Nothobranchius furzeri: one gene and its partner. The protein of the gene in region 1 binds, or shares a complex with, the protein of each later gene. Links are inferred from orthologs where the notes say so. Each region holds a gene or a part of one and is shown on either strand. Other genes may lie near its edges.

What was found. The genes of interacting proteins can lie anywhere in the genome.
Region 2: the proteins of fuz (region 1) and cplane2 are in contact, whole or in part, in a cryo-EM structure (PDB 7Q3E), measured with the Mus musculus proteins. The link is inferred for Nothobranchius furzeri from reciprocal best matches to the Homo sapiens genes FUZ and CPLANE2. Residues at the interface, in NP_081652.2 of Mus musculus: Arg26, Arg35, Ile109, Val110, Lys126, Glu127, Arg129, Ala130, Tyr132, Cys133, Asp136, Gln215, Ala216, Ala217, Arg218, Asp219, Tyr220, Pro221, Tyr223, Pro232, Leu238, Thr239, Leu240, Leu241, Arg242, Pro255, Leu256, Gly257, Gln258, Pro261; in NP_001074643.1 of Mus musculus: Glu36, Gly38, Leu39, Leu40, Glu41, Arg42, Val83, His84, His85, Glu86, Thr88, Gly89, Ile90, Gln91, Thr92, Thr93, Val94, Lys124, Phe125, Met128, Glu134.

The regions. Positions count from the first base shown.
Region 1 is NC_091751.1:48,625,616-48,628,899, reverse strand, and holds fuz (protein fuzzy homolog), read right to left. Parts: upstream 2,062-3,284; 5' UTR 1,915-2,061; coding exon 646-1,914; 3' UTR 501-645; downstream 1-500. UniProt on the Homo sapiens protein: Probable planar cell polarity effector involved in cilium biogenesis. May regulate protein and membrane transport to the cilium.
Region 2 is NC_091743.1:65,229,379-65,233,522, reverse strand, and holds cplane2 (ciliogenesis and planar polarity effector 2), read right to left. Parts: upstream 2,801-4,144; 5' UTR 2,584-2,800; coding exon 2,454-2,583; intron 1,552-2,453; coding exon 1,399-1,551; intron 1,333-1,398; coding exon 1,208-1,332; intron 766-1,207; coding exon 626-765; intron 513-625; coding exon 287-512; 3' UTR 199-286; downstream 1-198. Other genes in the region: heat shock protein beta-7, read right to left, coding at 3,272-3,277, 3,354-3,479, 3,633-3,766, 3,888-3,984. UniProt on the Homo sapiens protein: Required for efficient primary cilia initiation, regulating a late step in cilia initiation. Plays a role in the final maturation of the mother centriole and ciliary vesicle that allows extension of the ciliary axoneme.

The sequences.
Region 1 (3,284 bases):
TGCATAAATGTGTTGAATTTATAAATATTTGGTCCATAACTTTAAATTGTGAACAGCTTTTTTAAATAATGCAGCTGAGAAAAATGTTGCATGGCTTCTGCTAAACTGTTTCCTCATTCTCACGCATGTAGGAGTCAAACGGCATGCTGAAACTTTCGTCATGTCTTCCTGATGCATGATGGACTCATTTGTTTCATGCATGCTTATGAAGAAACATGTAGCAAGACAATTATATAATAACAAGATCATAATAATAATGTTATAAAGAAAAGAGATTACTTAAACAAAAAAGAATAAAAAACATTAATTAATTTTTTTATCTAGTGTGACACATTATTAATTTGCAGGCAAGTGTGACCAGCTTTTATTCATACAACAGAAGCAGCTTAGAGGCTCAACACAAATGTGCAACAATCTTAATTCTAAAAAAAAAAGCATTTGTTCTAATGTCTGCTCTACAACTGTAAGCAGCTACGTAAAAAATATTTTAGAAAAAGTTAATAATTGAGTTTCTATATACTCAGAGGAAAAATAGCATTTTTTTCTATTGGATCCCCTTTTTGTGTGATTATTTTTGTAAGACTATAACATAAATTCACATTTCAAGTGACCAACATGAGATTGAAAAGTTGCAATGGATATGTATTAAAAACCTGTGGGTGCAACAATATCAGAGAGAGTCTGTGTAGCCAATGTGCCCAGTGCAAAGGTGGGCACAGATGGCATCACGAGAAGATAGAGCTGGTGCTGTGGTGTCTGCAATGCATAGCATTTGCATTCTTCTGTAACTAAATAACACTGTTGGGGCTGGTGGGAGAATCCAAGGAGAAAGTCTTCTGTGATGTCTCTCTGAGTCCTCTCCTCCTGGGTGAAGTAGCGTGAAATGCTGAATGTATAGAAGAGTTTCAGCAGCTCCCAGCAGCGAGCTTTGGAGAGTATAGGGGGGTGATGGGATGAATTCTGCAAACATGAGACTGAACGACGAGTTTCACGGTTGATGAGCAGAAGAGCCAGTACGTCAGGCCTCAGCGATATGGATCCGGGTAAGCAGCGGTCTCCAAGAGCCAGGCAATTTCTCAGGGTTTCTACCAGGGGTGACCAGAAACGACCCACCAGCTCAGTTCCAGCTTTGTGAAGGGATGGCGTGGAACCACACAGCACACACACGTCTGCTCCTGGGAGTAGCTGGAAGCGGAGCAAGCGGTGGGCGACGGTGGGGCTAAACTGAGGGAGAAAAACTGGGTAATCACATGAGGCTGATCCAGATGCAGATAAGGTACGAATCAGAGCAGAAAGCAGCACGATTTCCTGTGGCACCAGCTGCCGCCACCACTCTTCAGTCGCTGTAGCAATCCGCCCGTGGACCACCAGGCAACCAAACTCACTGTCAGCAGCCTGAGCAAACCCATCCACCGCCTCTTGGAGAAGAATGGAGCTTGAAGGTAGTAATGAATCAGCACAGTGTGTAAGGTTTCCAAGATAACCTTGTTTCTCTTCAAGCAGCTGATCAATCAGGCTGAAGCAGGACCTCAAATCCCTCTTCAGTCTTTCTACATTCCTGACATTAGTCAGCTCATCCTGCCCCAACACCAGCACCATGCAGCTCCAAACGTTTTCTAGGAGGCGCTGCAGGCGGGTCTCCTCCTCTGTGCCGCATGACCCACTCGGTCCACCTCCACTCACAGCGATGAGCATCACGCTGTCGAGGAAAACTCTCCACACCACCTTCCCTCCACCGTCCGTGTCGCAGCTGGACAACACCACTCCCTGTCCTCCCCCGAACATGTGAACGCCGTTCAAGGAGCCGATGACAGAGAAAGGCAGCTGTCTGGAGGCCCCTCTAGTGAAAAGAGGAACCCCGCTGCTGGCGGTGAGGCAGATGAGCTGGGTCGAACCGTCCTGGAGCATCATCATGTTCGAGCGTGTTGTTCTCCCCGCTCAGAAAACCGCAGGATCAGATTAATGAGCTTTGATTGAGCCAATTGTGTAACGACGAACCGGGAGGTAAAAACTCCCAACGTTGCATCAGCTACACCGTTAGCCGTTAGCGTCATATAATCACTGAACCACCAACTAGGCGAAATACCAGGCAGAAAAAAATATATTTATCCTAAATTAAATAAACGCACTAACCACCAGCCGCCGCTTTTTCAACTAGCTGTTTCTTTCTAGCTGTTTTAACCATGCTAGGTTAACAAAAGAGGTTACCGTCGTTTCCACAGTAACGCTGTCCCATGATTCATCCTTCGCACACCGCTGAATGTGGGCTCATTTGGCTGGTCGAGCTTCAGTTACTAGTTACGAGCTTTGCTTGAACCGCTGAGAGAGCAGGACGCGGAGACAGACCTGGGTTCAGTCCCCGGAACTCCCGGATGCGCCGCTCTACTCTCATGGATCTGACACCCATTGGTTCACATCTCGCGAGAGTCAAACTTGGCAAGATGATGCTGGATGACACGTGGATAACGCTCTTAAAAATATTGAAAGAATGCTACTGGACTTTGTTTGGAAAAGGAAGGTTTCCTATAAAAAATAAAACAGCTTTAATCAATTCGGTTACAAGTTATAAAAAAATTAAATAAAAGAGGACCTTAGTGTGTCAGCTATATTAATCAATTATACAAAAAGTAATAAAAGGAACAGAAGGGGAACAAAATAGAAGAAAAAGTAAATCTAAACCAATCTCAAAGAGGATCTATTTTCTTATGCAAAAGTGATTCAATAAATTTAAGAAAAATTAAGCTGATCAAGAAGGTATGCAGTCTAGCAGCAAAGGGGCTTTCCAACAGTTTCAAAGATTTTTGCAATAAGGAGAAATCCTTTTTAAGAGCAACCCATGAGGGGGCAGACTTAGCATAATGTATGTATATCATATTTTGTGTATATAATAAGATTGTTAACCAACAATTCTGTATTTTTATTTCATAAACTTACACCAAATTGAATATTCTGAGAGGACCAAAAGGCAACATTACTAAAAATGGAGGACATTGACTCGTGGAGATTTTCACAACTGTAAGACAGCGTCACATTCGTAGAACAGGTAATCTGTTGTCTCCAGATTGAAACATTATCCCCTCTTACATTTTCTCCAAATTAGGTGGTCTGAAAAATATTTTGATTTGTAATTATGAGACTCCCAAAATCCCCATAAACTCTCGAACAAGCAGATACTTGCACAGTCCCTCATTTTTAAGCACAATTTCTCACCACATACTTGTTATATTTGGAACATGTACATTACTCACAAGAATAAAAGCTTGTCTGTTAAAAACTGGTTTTGT
Region 2 (4,144 bases), on another chromosome or scaffold:
GGAGCTTTTTCCCGGCCATCAAATTACAATTGTCGGTGCTGTTGCATTAGCGCACAGGAGACAAAGCACCCCCACACTTATGATAAACAGTTTATGTCCGCCTTCTGAAAGAAAAACTGATGATCCCTGCAGCCAGCTGGATATGAAACATGTTTCAGTAGAACCTTCCTAAGTGACTGAAACGTGTTTAATCCCCCCCCCCCCCCCCCCAGTCTGTAAATACAGAATCTTTGTCTGCTCTATTTGCCACTTGAATCACGTCACAGCTTTATAACATGACAAACACTTAAAGCAGAGTCGCGTTCTCTGACTCCAGCTCCTGATGGGCTGCTCCAGATGTAATGCAGTCCTGATGCCACAAGTTCTCTGCCAGGCAGTTCAGGATGGGCGCTACATCACACAGCCCAGTGCCGGCCTCTCCACCGCCCGTACACAGCACCGGTAACCTCCACGTCTCCTCAAACTTCCCGACGTCCCTCTCTGCCACGTCACAGTGCATGAAAAGGTCAAATCTAAGGGAAGCATTAAGGAACAAAAAACCAAGTAACCTTAAAGGTTTGGTTTTGTCTCTTAGATGCAAAATACTGATTTTCAAATGTCTAGACATTTTAAATGCAAAGGATACTTGGTGCCAATCACCACTTTGACAACACGACCAAAAGATGGCTCATTCCATTTAGAGATCTGACTTGATAAATCATCAAAGGATGTCCTGTCGGTGAAGGAAAAAAGGAACAGGACCGCGTCCACCTGCTCCTTACAAGACTGCAAAAAAGGGGGGAAATGTTAGTGTAATTTTAGAATGCTGAACTGGGTCACGACTAGTGCGGCAGCCAAGTGGAGATTAAAATTTCCTTTTATGAGGTTGGAGTTTGATATTCACAACTTTACATATAGTTTAGGATATGACATGCTGTCATGTCATACACATTATCTTGTACTGATCCAATAAAAATGAGCCATGTCAAGTGGGCAGATTTTGGTTATGAAAACTAAAGTATGGGAAGACTTCATGGGTCATGGTGTTGTACCATTTTTCTAAGATCAAGTTATATAAACCAAGTTAAACCTACTGAATCAGTCATTTTTGCAGTGTACCAGTGGGATTATGACCCCTACAAAAACAGGGATGGAGGTCAGCTAGACAAGAAAGGGGCTTTCTATGGAACTATACAAAAACAGCAACAGTGTTTATAACTTCACTTACTGGAAGCAGATGATCAAATCTGCGTAAGGCGTTCTCTCCACAGTCCCAAAACTGCAGACGGAAAAAAAGCACCCTGCCGTTTTCTCTCAGCTTCACTGGCCAATACACCACCGTCGTCTCGATACCTTGAACACACAAAACATCAGATAACTGATTCCATTAAAATTACCTCAGCTGGTGGTTGAACCTACCTGTGGTTTCATGGTGCACGTTAGGAATGCTCAGGCCAGCGAGACGTGCAGCAAACGCAGTTTTTCCAACTCCACTCTTACCGGAAATGAAGATCTTATAAGGAAATGTGTCCACAGCTACGTGTGGAGCCATCACCGGAGACTCCAGCAGACCTGTACAACATTTTTAATGATTTATCTTATTTTCTTTTCCCTCTAATATATCTCACAGTTTCATATAATTTAACCAGAAAGCTTCATACTAAGCAAACAATTAGACAATGATCAACTCCTTTTAGCCTGTTGTGTTTTGAGAAATCAGATCAGAGAAATAGTTAAATAAAAATGCAGATTTGTTCCTTTTCTTTAAGATGAAAATGCTTTTCATTTTGATTAAATGACAAACACACCAACTTTCTAGATCTGTTTACTTTTTGTGTTTGAATTGATAATCTACCTTAAACACATAATCCAACCATGATTTCATTTTGACTAAATATGCTTTTTTCTTTAAAGTAAAAATTTACGTTTAACAATTTTTTATAGGTCTGACGACCTGCTTTTCATACAAATTTAATTTATCATGGGAACATTTTAAAGAAATCTGAGGTATAATCAATTGCTCCCAAATGTCATTCTGAATCTTTAAGGCGTCTAATATTTATATTGTTTTAATCTGGAAGAGGGTAAGTCAAATTTGGGGAAAAAAATCAGCAATTAGGAGAAAAAAATAGAAAAATAAATGACTAATGATTGATAGTAATAACTGACACTTATATTTGAAACCACCATGCCTGGATCTCTGCTGCATGATATCATTTCATGTACAAATCACCTTGCTTTGGTTTATAAACCCACGTTGTGTGAGAAAATAAACAATTCATTTTTTCAACTTTCCATTTCCTGACAATCCAAACTAAAACTATTATGCAGGTATCTGTCAGAACTGCATCATGTTGCATTAAACATTTATTTACTCTGTTTTTATTATTTACAAACCAAATTTTAGCTTTCAGCCACAATAAATAGCGTCGCGTTTTTTAAAGAAACTAAAAGGAAAGTTAGATAGGCATTACCAAAGTTCTTTCGTTTCGTCTTGTGTAGAATTTTGTTGAAATATTCTTTGCTTTCTTTACATCGGTGCCAATCAGAGACAATAACCGATCCTGGTTGGGGAACTTGTGCCATGATGCTAACATCAAACATGCTAACATCACAAAACTTTATAAACAAAGCAGCCAGCGGCTCGTTGAAGTTAAGAAAACTGTCTATACTGTCTTCTAAAGCTAAATATAATGAACATTCGCGTCACAATGAAAAGTAAGTCAACAAAAACCGCAGTGTTTTGCTAAAACAAGTAGCAATTAAGCTATTTTTCCGTAAACTAAAAACCGTGCCTTGACAACTAGTACGTCACTTCCGCCACTTTTCAAAGGTTGTATTCACAGGCTGTCGAAATCGCCATGACTAAATATAAATCGTACCACCCTCGTGTACTTTTTGGAACAAATTTAAAAAACTTACATCAGAAATTCTATTACTAAAACATTTACAAAGTATGTAAAAATATGAATTCACTGTAACCGACATTTTTTATATTTTCAAAAAAGTTAACAGCAAAATCTTGTCAAATTTTCTAAAAATGTTTAATTAGATTTCTTTATTTAAGCACATTTGGAAAGGGTACATTTAATTCTCAAATTTTATCCAGCACAATAATAAAAGTAGATCAATTTAATTATTGCTTGCGGTTTTTGACATTTTTAAGTACAGTTAGTGTTTTAGCTGAGAATTTCGAGTTTTTCGTAAATGTTCCATGAACGTTGCATCCAGAAGTTCATTTATCCACCGCTTGAGGCCGACAAAGTCCACTGCTTTTCTCCAAACTCTGAGGTCACATCTGTAGACAGAGCAACAATGAATTAGAGAAAATGCATACTTCGTGTAAAAGTCAGTGAAAAGCGGCGATAAGTTACCTTTTGAGCTTTCACAATCAGAACCCCACTGCTGCTCATGGACGTGCTCACAGAGAAGGGGTCCACATTTGATGGCAGTTTGCATTTGTGTGAAAGTGCTTTGGTGACTGTGCCACCTTCACCCACCTGCATTCAAAACATCAGTATAAATGTTCTTGAATAACTGTTACTGTACAGATAAAGAGGGGAAACAATAGAAAACATATTTCATATAAATATGTCATGTTTTTTATATCTCCATAATATGTGTCATGACAATTTCTGCAATTCATGATTCACCTTATCAGCCTGGACCTCTAGTAGATTATTAGAGGTTATGACAATAACTTCCTCTGGAGAAAATTCACTCACATCCAAAGTGAACTGGAAGATGTCACCAATGACCTGTATCTTTCCTGTCGGGGATGAGTGACCTGAAACAGTTAATGATAGTATAAAATATTAAATTTTGCTGTTTGTAACCAGGTAAAATATTTAATGCATCACTATTTAAAACAAGAAAACAACTTTTTCCCCAGTTTTTATTGGGCTGACCTGTAAACTTGTGTTCTTCGGTCCCAGGCAGAGGTGAACATCCTGAATCTTCAGAGCAATTCCTTTGACCCTCCTCCATGCAGACTAAGGTCAGCATTTCTCTGTCTTTAATCACCAAAAACCTTCCTCCCCTGTGTCACAACCGTCCGCATATGAGTCTTTATCAGACCACTTGGAGACTGTGTGGGTGTTTGTGTGTGTGTGTAATTTGGTCTCTAAGATACGCTGGAATATGACACACATTATAGATATTTAAT